Drosophila melanogaster: one gene and its partners. The protein of the gene in region 1 interacts with the protein of each later gene in a pairwise test. Each region holds a gene or a part of one and is shown in the gene's direction. Other genes may lie near its edges.

Region 1 (4,927 bases):
ATTGACTCAAAAAGGTAACACTCAGTTGTCTGGGTAAATGTTGCCCTATTTGCTCATTGCAAACTGTCCGCCTACAAATCGTAACTTTTTATATAATGGAGCCCCGAAATCTGCATAAGTAAAGAGGCATTTCAAAGCAATTACACAGCATAAATAAAGGCATCAAACAATCTGCAGGCCGTTGTACCTCGAAAGTGAAGTAATTATACATCAAAAGCGAATCATGTCATTGTCAAGTGTTTGAACAGAGCTGAACAAGATCGGATCATACCTGAAAAGTGTGCACTTGAGTGTCTTTTGATGGGGCCACCATTAATATGCAGTGTCTTGATCGCGAATATTATTATTTTAATTTCGTTATTTCGCATTTGTCATTAATGGGCCTTTTGTTTCGTTTTCGTACAGCGTTTGTGCGAGAGATATTCGAGTTTATAGACTCTTTGAGCTTGGCTCTGGTGTGAGAAGATACTGCGTCAAGATACAGATACAGATGGGATCGGCGACAAAACATGCTGGGAACTACGTGATTGATGGCGGCACTGCGATTACCAGCCGAACAGCTGAACAGTACTGAACTCGACTTAGAATACTCGGCCCAGGCGAATATATTATAAATGCTGGGATATATGCGAAATCAGTGAAATCTTGTCGCGTCTAAAAAGGAAAATCACACAGCAAATGCAAAATTTATGAGCGAACTACGTCGAACGACGTCTCCGGGCGAACGGAGCAGGAATACCAATTGGGCTGGGTTTTCGATTGGGATTCGTATAGGGATGGAGCGGATGTGCACTGCACTCGAGGATGAGTCAGCTGAGCCGGAGGTCCGTGTGGGTTCAGCCCTGTCAGACAGATCAAACTATAAAGACAGGGTCCAGGTTCGCCGAATGTCTTTAATTAGCCAGCACGGTTTCAGAGATCTCATCTAGTAATCACTTTATTTACCAGACACAACTTGGGGTCAGCATGATAATCATATGCTATCATCACTTAATTAACAACGGAATTTTTTATACAAGATAAAAGAACATACATATAATGCAAAGTAATCCAATACATTTTCGGTTAATCATTTTGCACTTCTTAACAATCATAATGATAATCCGAAAATTCAATCGCTATGTATTCAATTATATGGAGCCTCATAATATATGATATATGTACACGCTGCGTATGAGTAATATTTACAGTTCATCTCGAAATCTTTGCTAATATTTTGAGTATTCGTCATCTTCGTTGGAATGATAACTACTAGTATACATTGGGTATGGGAATATTCAATTTTGAAACTCAACTGAATAAGGCAATTGTAAAAGATACTGGCGTAATCTTTGATTACCAGCACGTTTTGTTAATTGTTTATTAAAGATGCTTTGGAACCTTCAAAATGCTCCATTTAATAGGATGAATGGCAAGCTGTAAGCTAAGTAACCGGCGCTATTTTAACCCAAGTGACCAGCGCTTAAGTGAAGTCCGATGTACATATACCGCAAATATATCTCAAATGCTTCGGCTTTACGAGGCTCCATAAAATTGGATCATAACACTGGCAGTGTCCGAAAGCGATGCTCAGGTGCGGCAAGTTAGTACGACTATGTACATGTGTACACTTCAATCGCCAGTCCAAACTGCGCCACTCAATTTGACTTGATTTTTTTTTTAAGTTTGGCTTACCGCCCACAAAACGCCGCAGTCGCCGTCGCAGTCGACGCCACCGTCGCTGAGGCGCTGAGCCGCTGAGCCACCAAACCGCTGAGCCGCTGAGATGCCAAGCGCACCACCATCGAGCCGCTGAACGGCGCCGATCCACGGACTGAGAAGCCGCCGTCAGGTGTTGTGGTTTTTGCGAGCCTCAATCGAGCTGAGTCTGTTTTCGTCTGCCTGGCAGCGCGGTTCTGGAACGCGTAACGCTCGCATCGACTTCAAAAGTTAGTTTTCAAACTCGGGACTCAATTCGCTGGATATACAAAACCGATTCGGTTCGGATCGCGGTGCGCTCCCAGTTTTTCCACCTGTTGCAACCAATTTGGCATCGCTCTTTTCGCTACTCTTGTGCAACAGCGCGTGCTGCAGTTGTAAAGCGCGTTTGGTTAGAGAATTTTTATATATTTCGAAAGTGGCAACTGAAAAAGATAGAAAACCAAGAGATATATCCCTGTATGCCAGCGAGCAAGATTCGTTTTGGCAGATCCACGAGCCCTCCAATTAGCCAGCAATTTGCGGAAAGCCACTCCAATCCAATCCGTGGCCGTGGGATCTGTGCCTGTGCAGCCAGCAAATCGGTGAGTCTTGAATTACATGGGATTATAGACAATCTGCTCTGCTATCCGTATACCTGGTAATCGTATGACATATGCCATTACGTATATGCTAGGCACTGTAGGTAGTGGTGGTGGTAATGTAGCTGGCGTTGATGGCTTTCTAAAAAAAATACCCATATACCCAAATACCCAAAACGGGTTGGATTCGCTCCGCAGGTGCAGGAGGGGCCGACGAAGAGCTCATAGCCAATTGCCAGCACACAGGCATTCACGAAAAAATGTGTGAAATTTCATTGAATTTCCCAAATTTAATACACAAACAAACCCACTCGGCAATTGGGAAATAACTCATTGTTTTGCCATTGCAATGGCAAAAGAGTTACGGCTGCCAAAGAATCGATAATCGCCAGTTGGATTATTATATTACTCCCGTGGTCTTTGTGTATTTCAAACAAGTTTGCATTCATTCGTATTTTATATATGGCCAAACCCAAAAAATAATTGATTAGATTGGGAAAAACATTCATTACTGGATCAAGAGCAGTTCGATCAATATTTAAATTCCCACTTAGCAGCTCACTAATTTGGCAGAATAAATAATATTATCTGTGACATTTGGTTTTACAAATCCGTGACTAATTGTTCTGTGCTGGCTATAAAAGAAATTACTTGATGCTCAAAAATATACAAAAATATACATACCTTTTGTAAAAGAGACTAAAAGGCCAGAAGAGGATTTTAAATATTTAGAAGATACGCATTTCAGTGAAATGTCGCAATAAAAATGTGTTGCATTAAATATTATTATATTACGTAAATCATATTTCAGCTGCGCAGAAATGTGCAATTTGCCTCAGCTTTACAAGCCATTTAAAATCCGAACTCAATTAAGCGATGTAATTTGGAAATTAAAGTTCATAAAGAATTTAAAGAGTGGACGCCCCCAAGCCCTTTATACAACAAATACTTTCGTTGGCCAAATTTAAATGGCAATGAAATGCATTCAATGAAATATGCATGAGAATATCATCATATCGTGCTGAAATGAAACAGAGTTTAAAAAATCGATTTGTGTGCCACAATTAAATGGGCCTCAAGGATGCAATTAAAGTATCTAAGTATCTGTGCAGGAAAAACCCAGCCAACTCTTTAATTGAGGCGAGACGAGAAAATAGTGCTAAACTTCATGTCATAGCGATTCAATTAATTCGCAATTTATCAATTTTCAGTGCCAGGGCTTTTTGATGCGGCCAAACATATTTCATTTGTCCACCACAAACAACTGGTATTCCAGTTCGGATGCGGATGGGGATTCGTTGGGAGTTCGCTTCGGGATCCGTGGGCGGATGGCTCTGGTGGCTCTGGTGTTCCATGTTCCATGTTCAGTGGGCTGACGTGGTGGGGCGTCAAGTGGAAAATAATCGATGATGTGCCCGGGCACAATGCAAACATTGAATCAAAGTCAAATAGCATTAAACTTTTTGAACTTGCGAGGCGCGGCGAACATAAAAAAAATGAAATAATAATAAAAGTTTGCCCGCCTTCCAAGAGGCGTGAAAGCGCACACAAAAAAGTGGGCAAGCGGGGTAGGGGGTTTTTTTTTGGGTTCCTGGGTTTTTGGGACTCGGTGCTGCAGTTTTGGATCTCCCTTTCCAGAGATTTAGTGCTTTTCTTTTTTTTGGATGGATAAGCGCAGCGTTGCGCAAATATTTGACAAATCCCGCGAAAAGTCTGCTTATGTTGTCACCTCGCCTCGTTGCCATTTCTATCCAGCACCCAGGGAATGGAATGGGATAACTGGGATGGGATGCGATGGGATTTGCAGTGTGACTGGCACTGGGCCAGTCATGCTGATTAGGATTGCACCGAAAGACACTTGCCACTTGCCACTTACCACTTTCAACGTGCGACAATGTTTTCGAATTGAAATCCGAATCGGAATTTGCATGCGAATGCTCGCGGTGTAATTTATATTTCGCACTTGGCGCACTTTTCATTTCGCTGCGCGATTTTGTTTATGCAATTTGGCCAACTGCCTGCCGAATGCCAAAAGGAAGGCAAACGCCTCAGGCTTCAGGCTTCTGGCTAACGAGTGCAGGCGCGTGTCTGTATCTATATCTGTATCTGCACCTCTATCTGTATCTGTATCTGTATCTGTATCTGTATCTGTATCTTGTGGATAGGGAAGACCCCCCGAGATTCCCATATAGCAGGTGAAGGCGAACGTAAATGCGCCAATTTGTATGCAAGCAGCATTAATCGAGGGGTAATCCGGCAGCGATGCATTGCAGCCAGTTAAAGCCCAAGCCCAAGCCGATTCCGAATCCAAATCGAAGTCCAAAGCCAAATCCAGAGCCAGAGCCACTGCGTTTCGACCTGGCCAAGAGGGGCCGACATTACGTGAGATGTGCAATTGCACGAAATTGATTTGCAATCGATAAATGTGCGAATATTGCTTCTGCTGCGAATTAGCAGCCAAACAGCCAAACGGCCAAGTGTCCAAATGGCCAAGATATCCGAAGGCGCTCTTCGCCTTGCATTTTCCAGGCGTGTTTAAGTATGCATAAATAACTCATCGGCCGCCTGACCATGAATCCAATTGGGAACATCTTCATTTAAATTGTTTAGTAGCCGAGCAATGCGGCTGAGTAATGTTTGCATTGTAT
Region 2 (3,728 bases), on another chromosome or scaffold:
CTGGAAACATTTTTGAGGCTACCTAGAGAACCTCGAGAGCATCCCCATTCCTCCCTAACGGATTTGTACAGGTGGTTGGGTGGTTGGTTGCATTAAAAATGCATTGGCCAACTCGTTTATTGTTGCTCCTTGGCAGAGCTTTGGTTTACTTTTATTTAGACGAGCTATTCGCTGGGAGAGCCTGATGATGCAAGCTGCAGCTGCAAGGATTCCACTCCATTTTGGGAGACACACACTTTTCATTAGCTCAAAGGAAGAAGCATGGATCGGAGCTCAGCTCAGGTGGAGAAGGTAAAGCCCTTAAAGTTAAGCGCATGGGAGCGGAACAAAAGTTGCCTTAAAGTCGTTGCCAGTCAATAATGACAGAGGATCCCAGAGGATAGGATGCCGTTTGGAAATGGTAAAGCGGATGCGGACGGGGATTCGAATCGGTGCTGAAGCTTCGGCCACGCCCACTCCGTGTCCGTGGGCGTGGCAGATGAATGAGAGGAGCACAGCCCCCCGAAACCCCGAAAAGAAAAGCAGAAGCAAAAGCAGCTGCAGATTTTCTATAAAAGCCGAGGCTAACGAGATTTGATGAATTGCAAGTCTTTGTGAATGAAGCTACAAGAAAGCTGCAGCATGAATAGCCCCGAGGCACCGCCAGGCCGCCTCCCACTCCTTGCGCTTTTCCATCTAACCCAGGTCCACATAAAAAAAACCCATTAAGTGGTTTAAAGCAGTGAAAAAGCGCACAGCACACAACAAGCAACACAGCAAAAGAAAAATGCAGTTGACATGAAAGCCAGCCAAAACGGGGCGATACAGGGATACAGGGATGGGGGTGGTAGGTCGGTAGGTAGATTGGTAGGTGGTGGAGTCAGACAGATGAACAGTACAGAACAGCACAGCACAGCACAGAGGAGCGGAGCAACAATGCTCACCCAGAGATGAGATAAGAACAGCCGCTGGAGGAGGACAAAGCAGCTTGACGAATTACTTGGCAGCTGCTCCTAGTGAAATCCCTGGGAGAATCAAGGAGCAGCGGGCGGGGCGGGGGCGAGCTGTGCGGGAAAGGACGAGGCGCAAGAAATTTAATTTGACCAACATTTTGATGTATCAAGTTCAGTTGAAGCCGAAGATTTATGACTTGCTGACAGAGCAAGCGGAGCAGCATCACCAGGATTGGGACGTCATGTCGGCAGAGAACAGTGCGGAGCAAGTGCATGCAAGAAATTTTATTCCATGCCAACCAGCCTAATCATTTTATAAATCATCTTGGTTTACCAGACGTACATATATATTATTGTACATATAAAGATCTGGAAGAGCTTATCTATGAGTTTCTCCATGATCATGCTCAAGCTTTAAAGTCCAAAAGTTGGAGCCGCAAAGCTTTGGCCGAAACAAAAATGAAAGTAAGCTGACTACTATCGAGCACATTTCCCATTTCCACTTGCCTCACGTAATGAGCCCACTGAAAATGAGGAAAACAAGGCCTTGACATCTGAGCCTGTTTGACTTGTGGTGATAATTGCAATTGGCGCGGTGTCTGTGACTTCAACTGTGACGCAGACAGTGACTGTGATTACACAAAGAGGAAACCTATGCCATTACCGATGGGGTATTCTGCCACGCAAGAATGCTGTATAAATCATAATATATAAATTATAAATTGAAAAGATAACATCGAATATATTAAATATTGCCTTTAAAAACTTTAACAGAGTTTACAACTTGCTTTTTGTATCACTTCTTAAAATAACAAGGAATACTTGTACACAAGTGTTCGGAGTTAACCAAGTAGTGACTGCTGCTTTAAAAGTCAGTTGAATAATTCAGTTTAAGGCTTTCTGACCCGAATTTACTCCCGTAAAACTGGAAGTGTACACCTAGGAGGACATCTGGAGATGGCTCGACTAATGGCCTTGATCATGGCGGTGTTGCTTCACTCGGTACTGGGCATCTCGTACTACTACTACTTTCGCGAATCTCCCGGCTCCGCTGCTCCTCTCTTGGGCGCCTGGCTCTTTTCCGCCTGCGTGGTGACCCTTCTTCACGGGGTGAGGATGTTTTCAAGTGCCCTGCCCGCCGATCAGCGGTTCAGGAATGGGAATCGAAACCTTCGCGGCAATGAGTCGTCCTGGGCATCGCTCTTACTGGAGACAGGCGTCTGCTGTTTGGTGCTGGATCTGACCCTTAGCAAACTGTGGCATCGCATAGAGTCCCTCTGCCAGTGCGCCATTGTGGGCATACTCCAGGCCTTGGCCGTCGAGGAGCAAACCTTCCTGGTCTGCGAGTACTGGACTTTGGGCCTGACTACCGGCCTGATCGGCGCATGTCTTCTGTGGCTTTCCCTATGGGCCACCGCGTTGCCCCAGAAGCTCCGCTGCGGGATGCTCGACTGGCGTCGCACCCTTCATCGCCGCTGCTCCGCGCTGATCTTCGGAAGTCTCGAGCCCGGCACTCCAATGCAGACCCAATCCCAGGGAAGCGCACAGAGCTTTGCCAATTGAGACGGAGGGGTGACCATTCCACTTCCACAGCCATATCACACTACCTCAGTCAATAGCTAAATTTATGGTTCAAATTATACTAAAAGCGTTTTAATAGGCACAGTGGGACACAACGGGCTGCATCATAAATTGAATTATGAATAACCATAATAGTAAATTTCGATTCAAAGCGTAGTTTCTTTTAGCTTCTTTAAGAAAAAAATAAACTCAAAAATCGAACATATATTAAATCGCAAGACCACTTTCTGACCGAATCCATGAAGCCAATTTGAAGCGGACAACTACCGGCCAAACTGCCAACCACTGGGGGCTGTCATCCCCCCGAAAAAGACTTGTAAACTCGTTAGCCGTAGCCGTACCCATATGCAATGCGGAAGAGGACCGATCCGAGATCCAAAAGCGACACGCCCCCAAACAACCGATTCGGTTTCGGTTTCGGATTCGGAAGACGGAACCCAGCGGCTCAAAGTAAAGCAAAGCAAGTCGATCGAAAGCGAAAACGAAACCATTACTCTGATGCGCGATCGATGGCTGTAAACTTGAACTTGAAGCGTAGCCAAAAGCGATGGACACCACGACGGCAAACAGCAACTGGCAACTAGCAAATAGCAACTGGCAACTAGCAACTTGCAACTTGCAACTAGCGACATGCAAGAGCCTGGCACACGCAACAATGCCGCTGAAATGCTTCCAAGGCAGTGCCAGCCAAATGCTGTTGCTTGCTGGCGCGCTGTCGTGTTTCGCACTGGTTAAAACTGCAGCCGCAGCCTGTTGCCAATTGCGGGAAATTGGTCGGGTCGTCGAGCGATATAAAAGCCTGGCTGGCAATGCAGCCGTGTTAATCAAAGCGCGTCGCTCGCCAGGAAAAGTGCAAGTGTTTTCCACGCTCCCAGGCAGCATTCAAACTCAAATCGCAGAGAAAATTCAGCGAGGTGAAATACGCATACTTTTTTTTTCTGTGCTTATAATAAAATCGAAAGGTGTTCCAAAATATCTGACCTTCGTGTTGCAGAATTAACTAAGCTGCTATAGCAGATATAGTTCAGTTACAAGTGCAGCTTACGATACAATTTTTCCATTTCGGATGCACTTCGCGTCCTGAAAATCAGCTTCGGGTATAAGCAGCAAAATGTTATTTTATAATATCCTTTGGGTTAACAAGTAAAATATATTATCGCAAATATTTTTCATGAACACGATCCCTTAACTTTTCTCTTATTCGCTACGTGTAGA
Region 3 (3,909 bases), on another chromosome or scaffold:
CAGTCAAATCGGCTTGCTTCACCATTGTTGGGTATTTCCAAATGGTCAGTTGGTTGTTAGCAAAACCATGCGCAGAGATCAGCTCCTTGTAGTGGCGAGAAAAGAGCAGAGAACAGACCTGCGACTTGGAGTCCACGGATTTCATTAAAGTGCCATTGTTCACATTCCAGAACTTGATGCAGCGATCGGCGGTGCCGCCTCCAGAGGCTAGAGTACTTGGTTGCCAGGGACACCAGGCCAAGGCACGCACTGCAGCTTGATGGTCGTTGAATTTGTGCAAGGGATCGGTGGCAGTTCCCACGCCACCGCTGGCCGCCGACCAAACATTCACCAGATTGTCGTTGCCTCCGCTAGCCAAATACTTGAAATCCGTGGACCACTTTAGGCCGCAAACCTCCTGCGTGTGTCCGGACAATGTGGAAAGCTTGTGCTCACGTGCACGCACATCGTGGTGGACAATGGTGCCATCCCGGCTGCCAGAGGAAACCAGGAATGAGTTCCAGGCCAAGGATCCCACTCGGGCACTGTGTCCATCCATCACTCGCAGACGCTTCACTTTGGAGCAGTCCCACAGCTCCACGGCACCGGTGCTGTTGCCGATGGCAAGTATCTGCCCCTCCTGGATCCACGATAGCGAGCCTGCGTAGTCGCCCTCCTCAAACTCCGTAAGCTGCTCGATATTTCCGGTCTGTGCGTTCCACAAATAGACGCAACTGCCCAAGGCCACAGCCACTATATTGTCGGCACTCCAATCCATAAGATTTAAATCTGGAAGAGATCAATAGTAGAAAAAAAGAAAAGAAAAGTTTTCTTCGACCTACAGTAATCGTTAATAAAATCAGGTGCATCCAGAATCCTCTCGGATGTGGTGGGTATATAGCGTGAGCCACTCTTTGTGGATATGGGTGTCTTAATGGAGTACACGACCTTCAGGGGATTGTTGTGTGTTTCTGGAGCAGCGGGAGCCTTGTTTTGGTAGCACAAAATGCGCCCGCCCTTGGAGTCACCGACCTGGGCCACTTCAGAGATGAGTTTCTGCCGGTCGCCCTTGTGAGCCGAAGCCTGGACATTGCTCTCGTTGCTGTTGCTCGAGGTGGCCTTGTCGTTCTCCTCATCGGACTTATCGCCGGAGTCTTTGTTCACCTAATAGATGGTCAGGTGGTCAATAAATTCTTAAGGGGTCTGGAATAAGGATGCCCTTACAGGGCGGGATGGAGGGATGAGTGGAATCCTTACCAGAAAGTGTGCTAACTCAAAGTTGGTAGCCGCCCGATTCGGAATAAAGCGATCTCCGCCTCCTGGCGTCTTAGAGGGCGTGGTGTTGGACTTCTTGGTCTTGCCCTCGCTGCTCTTGCCCGGAGTTTTCGTGGGCGCCTGGACACCCGAGAAACTGGTGTTGTACGAGACGGATAGCACCGACCGAGTGGTATTCACACTTCCATTTAGAGACGCCTCCAGCTTCTTCTTCCACCTGGGCGCAGGTCCGCGCGTCTCGCCGTCCATGATGAGAGCATTCTGCAAATCGCTCACAAAATTGAACTGCGACATTGTGTTCCGCTCTTTTCTGGTGTCAGTTGATTATCGAATTTATTTATTTATTATTATTAAAAAACAGAAGCTCATAGAACACTTGGATCGAATTTTTTCCAGATTTCGAGATGCAACACAAATGGCGGTTCGATTTGGAAATGTAGTGTGACCGCATCGGCTAACTGTTAGTGGTATTTTTTGTGCGTAGAGAAAATTACCAGAGAATTAAAATTAATACAAAACATTATAATTCGTTAGAAATTAAAATTGCTTCTTTAAATGAAATTATATTTGATTTATAATGGATAGCTGATTATTTATTAGCCTCATTTGCAATGTGACCGTACATCTGTGCTGCCTGATCGTTTAGATTAGTGCATCCCTGGCGCACAGCTGTCATCATCGCCGCCCTTGTAAAAAAAAAACAAGTGAGTCCCAGCGCTACAATTGCAAAGCCGAATTTTACGATAATAATTAGCAAGTCACTTTGATTAGCACCTGGAAGACGTGCTCCAGCGATTTTACAAGATGGCCTTCAACTTCACCGCCTTCACGTACATAGTGGCCCTGATCGGGGATGCATTCTTGATATTTTTCGCCATATTTCATGTCATTGCATTCGACGAACTTAAAACGGATTATAAGAACCCAATTGATCAGTGCAATAGCCTCAATCCGGTCAGTAAACTTACTGCTTACACCCGCAGTGCGCCCTGTAATGTATGTGTTTGCATTTCAGCTGGTTTTGCCCGAATACCTTCTGCACATCTTTCTGAACTTGCTCTTCTTGTTCTGCGGCGAATGGTTTTCGCTATGCATCAACATACCCCTCATAGCCTATCATATTTGGCGGTAAGTGACTCATTTGACCGTGTGATATAATGTGATTTGAGATCCGAGGAGATCAAGATTCACCCAAGCCCAACATAAGCACCCTTAAGCACTCATGCTTTGTAATACCCCTATCGCTTTCAGTTACAAAAACCGCCCTGTGATGTCGGGACCCGGACTTTATGATCCCACCACGGTCCTGAAAACCGATACTTTGTACCGGAACATGCGTGAGGGTTGGATTAAACTGGCCGTCTATCTGATTAGCTTCTTCTACTACATATACGGGTAAGTCTAATTGAGATTCATTGTGGCCAGGGTCCTCATTTGTCTAACGTTTCTAATTGCTAATTTTAGCATGGTTTATTCGCTCATCTCGACATAGGCAAGCTCTTGCCTGGGGATCTCAGTGTTGGCGCCAACGCATCAGCGTCGTGTATTAGTTGTCTAAACTCGGGTAGAGGACTTCCTTTTTTGGGGAAGAGTCCCCATCAACCGCGAACAATACTTCACTTGTAAATTCTAGTGTAAATCCATAAAGACATCTTGAAGCTTTGTTTTTTTCATACAATTTGTAATACTTTTCTGCAGTAAGAGATTGTAACATGTTTTTATTTTGATTATTTTTTGCATATCGCATCTTTGGTGTAGTTGGATTTTAAGCATTAAATAAAAGTCAAATCAATGTAACCAATTTTCATTTTTCTGTTTAGCATGAGGGACAGCGGAATTTTTGGCTAAACACGACGAACATGGAGCAACGAGCACTTAAGATAATAAAGATTATGAAAGGGCACTTAAACCTTATCAGCAGGGCAAACATAGATATAGTCTCTCTCCAATTTGATACTTGCATTACACGTTTTCTAAGGTAATATACAAGTTTCTTACATCAGCAAACATATTTATCATTCGGCTTTATATTTTGGAAATTATATTTAATTTTAGAGCTTCCATTAGAATGGAAAAATTCACCAAAGAACCACATGCTAAAATAAATGTATTTTGCTTTAGAACGTATTTATAACTTTATTTTACAATCGTTTCGGGAGGCCACAGCTTGGAATAAACAATATTGTGATTGAATCTTGATTAAAATAAAAAGCTGTATACATGGATAGGTACATGGGGCTTTTAATGGGCAACTGGCGTTTGATTACGACATAAAAACAACGAAGAACAAGAAGAAGAATATGAGAACGCCGAAGATTTTGATCATCAGCCAGCGATTTTTGGAGACGGATTGAAAGTATTTCAAGATCTCCCCATGGGCAGCCTCAATATTCAATTCCGCATCCGCCACATTCGTGTCAATACGCTCCACGATCTCTTCCTGCTCCTTAACCATATGTGCCAGCTGCTGGAATATTCCGCCGAGCTCAACGATGGTAGATTCTATATTTTGCATGGTCTCCGCCCGCTGCTGGACGTAATTATCGGAATCATCGTAGATGGCCATCTGTGTCTGGGTTGATAGGAGTGGTGTGGTATCGCTGCTCCCCATATCTATGCTGACCGCTTGGTTTTCCTCGCTGAGAAGCAAAGATC
Region 4 (7,806 bases), on another chromosome or scaffold:
ACGAGAAACGATTTCCGTATAGAATGTCCCTTTCAGGAAGTGCAAACATACCCGAATAAGGTCAAAAGGGCAGCTCTTGTCCCGCAAGCCACGAAAGGCGTTGCGCATACGCCGCGTGTGTCACGCGCTGGCTTCTCGTCCTAATGACATGAGCCCCATGCCAAGCGAATGACAGAATGGATCCGAGAACGGGACTTGGACTCGGCGGCGGTATGCAAATCAGTTTACTGTGGCGACGACAATGATGGCCGCCACTCAATTATGCGCTGCGCAGGAAAGACTTTTGCTGCCTACTTTCAGGCAGACAACAAAACAAAAAAAAAAAACAAATGAGAAGTGTGAGGAAAACGCTTTCGATTTTCCGATACCCATTTATATTTATATACTGATTTTAAGGAAAACACATTTCAATTTGAGACCCAAAATCCCTCTTCTGTTGCCTCGGTGAAATCCTTTGCCCATGGGAAACACGTCAAGGGATTTTACGTGGCCAACAGGTGTTCCAATTGTTTGGGCTTCGTGTCGGTGGTATATTTAGATCGCAGAGCCTCATTAAATTTTTAATTAACGGAATTAGTGGAATGTGTGTTGCCAAGTGCGCACGAATGTCGAGGGATTCCGACTCCTGTGACGGACTCGAGGCATTCTGGTGGCTTTGGGGCGTTCCGTTTTATTATTTATGTCCGGTAAGTATACTCCTGGAATACCTCTTCGTGTCGCCCTAGGGAAGCATGACGTTACAGGTGCCCAGGAAATTTTTATTTAGGACCAAATTGTTCTTGAAACCCTGGCCTTGACATCCTAAAAATAGACGTACTGGCTTTATGTCACATCGCATATATTAACCTGTCTAATTATAATTAATGATAATTATCATACTAATGGGTGGCCAGGGACAAAAGGTCTTATATACATACATATATTACAGGAAATTACCATGCGTGCCACTGGGTTAAAACCTTTTCCGAAGCGGAAGCGATGGAAATTATGCCATATACAATAAAATGGTTTACCTTATCATGGAGCTAAAGCTCAAGCGATAAGCAGCAAATTACTTCTAATAAAGATGTTGACTCGTGTGTTTTTTCGAAGGACAAATGACTGTAATATAAAATACTTCAAAGAAGTTCTACGTAAAAATAACCACAACAGTAATATAAAATTTCCATTTTAGACACTTTTCTGAGACATAAACTAACTTCAGGGCATAATATTATTTAAAAGAGCAATCCCTTTTTTTTTTATAAATACCTGATAGACAAAAGTAGATGGCTTTAAAAGTTTGCGCACTGGTCACTTCATCAAAAGACCTCAATTATGCAATGAGTGCCAATAATTAATTATATATTTTCATTATGCCATTCGTTGCGTACACTTTTCATTTATTTTGTAGCATCTTTTGTGGCAGAGAAACTTTTTGTTCGAGCTTATAATTGACTGTGCTCGGCACAAAGTAACTGGCAAATTATTTATGAAAATGCTGCCTGGCCCGCTATAGAAACCTAATAACAATAATATTGCTGATTAAGCATTAATCAAAGCCGCCAGCTGGGCAAATCAACAACAAAGACGCCAAACTAAAGCCACAAGACAATGGGAGTCGCATTGGAAGTCGGAGAAAAGGGAAAGTGATGATCTCGGTTCGATGAAATTTATGGAACCCGGCTGGTTTAATTATGGAAAAAGCTCGGCCCAATATATGGGTTTTAAATGTAGCCTTTTGGTAACAAAAGAAAGCACAGCAGCAAAATTGGCTGTTTGTCAACTGATAAGCGGCTGCTGATAAGGGAAAAGCCATTTTCACATTTTCCATCTCTCATGGGAGAGAGAGCGCTAGAGAGCGGAAAGCTTCGGCGAAAGCTTTGCTTTTCGGCCTTGGCATTGGCTCGCTTTTTAACTAAGACTTCGGCTTCGTTTATGGCCAACAGCTGATCCGAATTGGCCAGATGTTGGGCTGCCTTTGGCCCGCTGATTCAGTTGTGCCGCACAGGTTAACGCGAGCGGTTCTTGTGTCGGAACATTCGGTACCAAAACTTCGGACGCTGCGGCTTTCGTACTATTTATGATTTTTTGTGTTGTGACAAATGCGATTTATTTGCGGACAAAAGTGGCTTTTGGCAATCAGCTGGTATTGTTCTGCGAGAGCCGTACCAAATAGTGCATAACATAAAATAAAACAAAACGAGTACTGGAAAAAAAAAAGTATCTAAAGTCAAACATTTGGGTCCCCTGGCAACACTTGCATTTTCCCTCACGACCAATCGCCCAATATAACTCCCGGCTGACACACATTTGATGAGAACAAACAGCAAACTTAAAAAAATCTACCGAAAATAATGTCAACGAAATCAATGGCAGCCCACGGCAGCTGCAACATGTTGCTGCTGTGTCTTCTGCTCCTGCTGCCGTCGGTCTCCCCCGTCCGCTTGCCCAAAAGCAGCAGCAACAATGCAACAGCAGCAACAACAGCAGCGACCGCATCAACCGAATCAACCGCAACAGCAGCAACAACTGCTGCAATCCGCAATGCCAATGCCAAGGCTGGTAGCAAATATGGTAAGTCCTATGAGCCGAGGAATAAATTCAGACAATCGCAGGGCCAGTTAAAGTTGCAGCTACTAAAAGTCTGCGGTCGCAGGCATGTCAGCTGCACAGAAAAAAATAACTTTAAATATTAGTTTCTCATTTGCCTTGTAAGCAGCACATAAGCAGCAAGCAAATTAGAAATATGATTTCTTACGTGAAAACTCCATCTGCTGCGCAATGTTATATAGAAACATAAACATTTTTCCAAATAGCCTTTTTAAGATTTAACTAGAACACAATATTTTTTAGCGTGTTGATTTTCCTGTTTACCTATTCTTGTCGAATGTTGGCTAATTGCACTTGGTCACGATCAAGCGCTTTTTTCCCTGAACCTAGTTATGTTCCTTGTGGTATTTTCCCTACGTCTGCCCTTGGTGGCAAACGAAAGACTCAGACAACGAACTTGCCCGGCGGCCAGCTTTTTCTGCACCGTGTGCCAATCATGTGGGCACGCGGGAAATGTGTCGACATTTCCTTTTGGCCGCTAAATGAGGGCGGCTGGCACGCCCAGAGCCGCAGAGCGGAAATCGCAAAGAGATTTTCAATGGAGAGCAAAAGTGTCATTAGGCCGGGACAAAATGCCAGTAATTGTTGGCCACAAAACACAGGTTTCGGCCGTTCTCTCTCTAATCGAATTAGCTAAAGCGGTGCAATTACATCGCCATACGGTGACAGATCAAGATTGATCTGGCCAGATGATTGAAGGCAATTTGTCCGACGATCTTGTATTACAGAACTTCCCGCTGGCTGTGGCCAATGGAAAATTAATGAATCTCTGGTCGGGTCTCATCGACACTTCCACTTCCTGGCTTGCATAACACTGCAGTGACGGCCTACGAAAATATGGCCTAACCGAAAATTTGTGCACCGTCATAGATAGTAGAATTCCCAAGATCGAAAAGCACCATTAATCATTGCGATGCTGCAATTGAAGTGTCTTTCATTTCTGCATCGCATTTTTATTAATTTTCTGCTGGATTTTGGCTCAGCAATGGCATCTAGCCGTAGCCCCGATTTCAGAATTTGTGCCATCGCAGACTTTTCACTTTTCCATGTTCTCTGTGCGAAATTCGCCTAAAAATGCTGCTGCTACCATGCACAGACACACACAAAATCGGTGTCAATGATTTCAACATGGGAAAAGCATGGTAAAGACAGCCACCCGAAGCTGCAACAACTGCAACATTGGCAACATCACTACATGGCCAAACACAAACAAGCTAGCTTCGGCAACTGGCATTTCTAATTGCAGATTATGCAAGGTTCTGGCTCAGAAGAAGTCCCCAAGCTGGCGGGCTTGGGAAATCGCCTGGAAATCGGGGCTAAGTGGGCACGGAAAATTGGAAATTTACCGGGACTCGACGTTGTGATTAATGGATAATTGATCAGGGATTTATTGTTACGAATCTCGAGGAAGCGTTTTTTGCAAGCTAAGTTTGTAAAATGCATTATTTTCTCAGCTTTTATGCTGTGTTGCTGCTGACTTTTAATGCTAAGGTATAATTTCCGTTCTTATTAGAATGTGCAGCATCAATGCGATTCGAAAATGTAATACTACATTATAGCTCGTTCAATCAAAGTTCTTGGTAGCATTTAAAGCCCAAGTACCAAGTTGCACCATCCCTTTAGCCGCAACATCCAGCATCATCATCGTCGTCAGGTCTAGTTCTTATTCCGACTTAACTACCTGCCCCCCTTGGCTAATTCACGTCACACTCCGAGCCAGATCCACCATCACTCGCAGCTGGAGTGGAAGTGCAGAGCTGGTGACTCCAACTGGCAGCACACTTCAGATCTTCTTCTGCAGATCTGCCAGTGGGAACAACCACTTAGTGGGGTCCACAAAAAACCAACCGAATGAAACAGAACTAATCCAAAAGCGTGTCTGAAGCTCAGGCGGCGGAAAACGAGTTCCTTGCCCCGAACCTATGCTCTTGCAGCAAAGTAACTAACCATGGTGGCTGATTTGCATGCAAGACCAACAGCTACCAACTGCCAACTACCAACTGCCATTGCCACTGCCACGAATCTTGGCTATAACCCCGTTTTCCCGTTGCTGCCCATGCTCATGCTTTTGTAACCTTCGATAGAGATACGCGGCGTTGCCGGTGAACCAAATTACAAATCGGTGAATCTGACCTGGGAAGTTGAATTCGTGCCGTCGGCCCATGACACAGATTCGAGCCCCAACTCCAACTCCAGAGCGGACCAGGTGAACGCGACAAATATGAGCGGCGATGTGGAACCGCCCCGGGATCTGGCATTCCAGATATTCTACTGTGAGATGCAGAACTACGGCCCACAGCGGTGTCGCGTCAAATTGGTGAATGGCACCACCGCCGAGGTGTCCCAGGAGGAGAATGAGAAGGCGACGGATCAGCAGGAGAAGCATGAACCCTCAGGGTAAGTGGTTTTGCCATTTAGGAAATGCAAAAGTTCGTAAGAATGTTGGTGCACTTTAAATTCGAAATTTAATTGGATTTGCCTTTAACGAACAGAAGAAAATGAAAATATCTTTAGGCAAATATTTCAAAAGAAATACAAATACATTCGCGTAATCTTAAATAAAATGATATATAAGTAATAAAAGAGTTATACTCCTAGCTCATCCGCTCAACTGGAAATAGTTGATCAAATTTTTAGTGCAAAGCTGAATACGATTAAGTTAAGTTACGTTTAAGACCATTTACTCAATGCCTTTGTAGGTCCCAGGTGCACCACTTTGTTGCTGCCGTGGACAACTTGCGCATGGCCACCAAATACAGTTTCCACGTTCGCCCGGCTGCTCAGAAGCGCCTCCAGGCGGGCGGAACTCGCAGCTCCAATGCCCGGGCAGACTTTCACGATGAAAACAACGAGATCGAGAGTGGATCCGGACATCTGGCGGGCCAGAGCATCGTCATACCCACCAAGGGCTGTAAGTGGTTTCCAAGTATTATTTAAGTTTACAACCAACTTACGCTTGTAAAAAGCTGAAGCACTGAAAACGTCGTACGTAGTACTTTTTCAAAACGTATATATTTTCCAAAACTTACCAGTCACCGCACATGCCACCCAGTGTTTGCCGCATGCCTCAGAGATCGAGGTGGAGACGGGTCCGTACTTCGGAGGACGCATCGTCGTGGATGGAGGAAACTGTGGGATCAAGGGCGATGCCAGCGATGCGGCGGACAAGTACACGATGAGGATCGATCACAAAGAGTGTGGAAGCTTGGTGAAACCGGAGACCAACACGGTGGAGACCTTCATCACGGTACAGGAAAACCTTGGCATATTTACCCACAGCACAAGACGGTAACATATAGTCTATTTATTATTTTCTACAAATATGTAGTACATATGTAGTACAGTGTGGCACCTTTAAAGAGGTTTATCATTTTTATCAAACCTCTGTTCGAATCCTAGCTTTGTGGTGGTCTGCAGCTACCACTCAGGCATGCAGACGGTCCGAGCAAGCTTCACTGTACCTGGAAAGAACGGGGTGGCCGCCGCCTACGAGCCCAACGACCCCTTTGAGCCAGACGAGGATCAACGCCTGGGCAGGGAACTCCGACCGATGCGCTACGTCAACAAGACGGAGCTGGTGCTTCGCGAACCGGACTCCCAGCGGGAGTCCCAATCCGATTCGGAGTCCGTGGAACAGGCTGCGGTGGTGGAACAGGCCCCGACGCCCACCACCGAGCAGGCTTCTCAGCCCAGAGGTCAGGGCAGAGCTCTGAACCTCAACGAGGTCAACAGTTTGGCCGATGAGCCGGCGGAGGAACATCACTTGGAGCCTGTGGTGGGCACCAAGTACGCCAAACTGGTTGTCGACCAGAGCCACAGTTCCTGGATGCCGTTGGAGGTGGGCTCGCCATCAGGTGGTAGCGACGAGAATGAAGGTAAGTGGCCTGTCAGCGACAATCGTGATTCCTAAATGCCCATAAACTTGTGAAAATTTAGAAAAATATATTTTAGTTGTGATTTATAGGAATAACATTCTTTACATTTCTTGTTAGATTAAAGTCTCGAATTGATGACCTATATAATTGCTTTTTTATTATTGAAATATTTCTATAGATTTTTCCATATCCTTTTTTCTTCCTGTGCAGCCGTTCTGCGTTATATTGGCTCCCATCTTAGCAGCGTGCTGGTAACCGTCTCGCTATCTGTGATAATCATCAGCATTTGCATCGTTCTGCTGCAGCGCCAGCGGATCCGCTCTCCGCCCCGCAGCCCATCCCCCTGCCTGGCCGCCCACCTGCCGCACAAAACGTTGCCGCGTGCACTGCAGCAGCAGCAGTACCAGTGCACCTTGTAGGTGCCCCTGCCCCAGCTCCACCGACTGTCCCGCCGCGTCCTCCGCCTTCCTCCGCCAGCTACTCAGCTATGCCCACTTGTCTTGCTGAATGTCAAAGTTTTGAGAGGAAGAAAACTTCAGCATTTAGCTGAAGATGACTGCGCATAGCCACGCCCCCATCCCCATCCGGACCCTGGTTGAACGGATTCCAACTCAAGCCCCATCGGTACCAGTGGGTTAAGCATCCTCCGATTTACATAATTATAAGCTCGACTTCGGCTCTGGCCAAGCTTTAACTGCGATCGCGAGGAGGACGAGCGGGCATGGCACTTCTCATAGAGCGAGATTAGTCTGTAGACTCCTAGATATAAGATTTTGTATAAATTATTTATGCCCCGAGAATACATACATATTATAGCTACTACATTTTATTGCTTATTTTATTACGTTTGGATTGAATTAGAAGGGGTGTTAGAAGCTAACTAAATGCAAAAAGATTATTAACTGCATATTACTAACATGCTACTTCAAATTGAAAACCTGACCTACAATTTCAAATGGGACTCATAAAAAGCGAGGCCAACCAGACACTGCTGAGTTATAATGAATAGGATAGTTAAGAGAAAATAGCAGTTTAGCGAGATACATAAAAATACATGGCCCAGAATGATCTCCGCTAACGAATCTTTCCCAAAACATTTGACTCAAATTCTGCGGAAATGAAAGTCAGTCAATAGGTCGATTCCCGATATAGATGCACTCCTCCACGAAGTTCCCACTTCTGCCCAAGAAGCTAGTCGAAAGTGGGTTCCCACTGCCATCATCATCATCAGACTATAATTTCGGAAGTACATTCTAACCGACTTCATCAAGGGTTACGAACGTGTTATGTGTCTGGGCTTCTGGTCGTAAAACAAAATTACGAAATTATGCTAAGATGT

Evidence for each region.
Region 2: the proteins of wat (region 1) and CG11379 interact in a two-hybrid assay, tested with the Drosophila melanogaster proteins (one large-scale study listed by BioGRID).
Region 3: the proteins of wat (region 1) and cni interact in a two-hybrid assay, tested with the Drosophila melanogaster proteins (one large-scale study listed by BioGRID).
Region 4: the proteins of wat (region 1) and CG16798 interact in a two-hybrid assay, tested with the Drosophila melanogaster proteins (one large-scale study listed by BioGRID).

Annotation. Positions count from the first base shown.
Region 1 is NT_033777.3:29,017,378-29,022,304, reverse strand, and holds the start of wat (waterproof), read left to right. Parts: upstream 1-1,898; 5' UTR 1,899-2,282; intron 2,283-4,927. UniProt on the Drosophila melanogaster protein: Catalyzes the reduction of saturated fatty acyl-CoA to fatty alcohols. The preferred substrates are C24:0 and C26:0. Necessary for the final stages of tracheal maturation, to facilitate the transition from water-filled to gas-filled tubes.
Region 2 is NC_004354.4:1,178,375-1,182,102, forward strand, and holds CG11379 (uncharacterized protein), read left to right. Parts: upstream 1-1,790; 5' UTR 1,791-1,889; coding exon 1,890-2,495; 3' UTR 2,496-3,177; downstream 3,178-3,728. Other genes in the region: CG14627 (uncharacterized protein), read left to right, coding at 3,728-3,728.
Region 3 is NT_033779.5:16,308,740-16,312,648, reverse strand, and holds cni (cornichon), read left to right. Parts: upstream 1-1,922; 5' UTR 1,923-1,958; exon of another isoform or gene 1,959-2,008; 5' UTR 2,009-2,058; coding exon 2,059-2,208; intron 2,209-2,269; coding exon 2,270-2,382; intron 2,383-2,505; coding exon 2,506-2,649; intron 2,650-2,718; coding exon 2,719-2,746; 3' UTR 2,747-3,357; downstream 3,358-3,909. Other genes in the region: fzy (fizzy), read right to left, coding at 1-768, 822-1,143, 1,237-1,548; Syx5 (syntaxin 5), read right to left, coding at 3,518-3,909. UniProt on the Drosophila melanogaster protein: Acts as a cargo receptor necessary for the transportation of gurken (grk) to a transitional endoplasmic reticulum (tER) site and promotes its incorporation into coat protein complex II (COPII) vesicles.
Region 4 is NT_033779.5:20,376,463-20,384,268, reverse strand, and holds CG16798 (uncharacterized protein), read left to right. Parts: upstream 1-1,912; 5' UTR 1,913-2,336; coding exon 2,337-2,556; intron 2,557-4,676; coding exon 4,677-4,989; intron 4,990-5,291; coding exon 5,292-5,503; intron 5,504-5,624; coding exon 5,625-5,880; intron 5,881-5,991; coding exon 5,992-6,467; intron 6,468-6,677; coding exon 6,678-6,886; 3' UTR 6,887-7,288; downstream 7,289-7,806.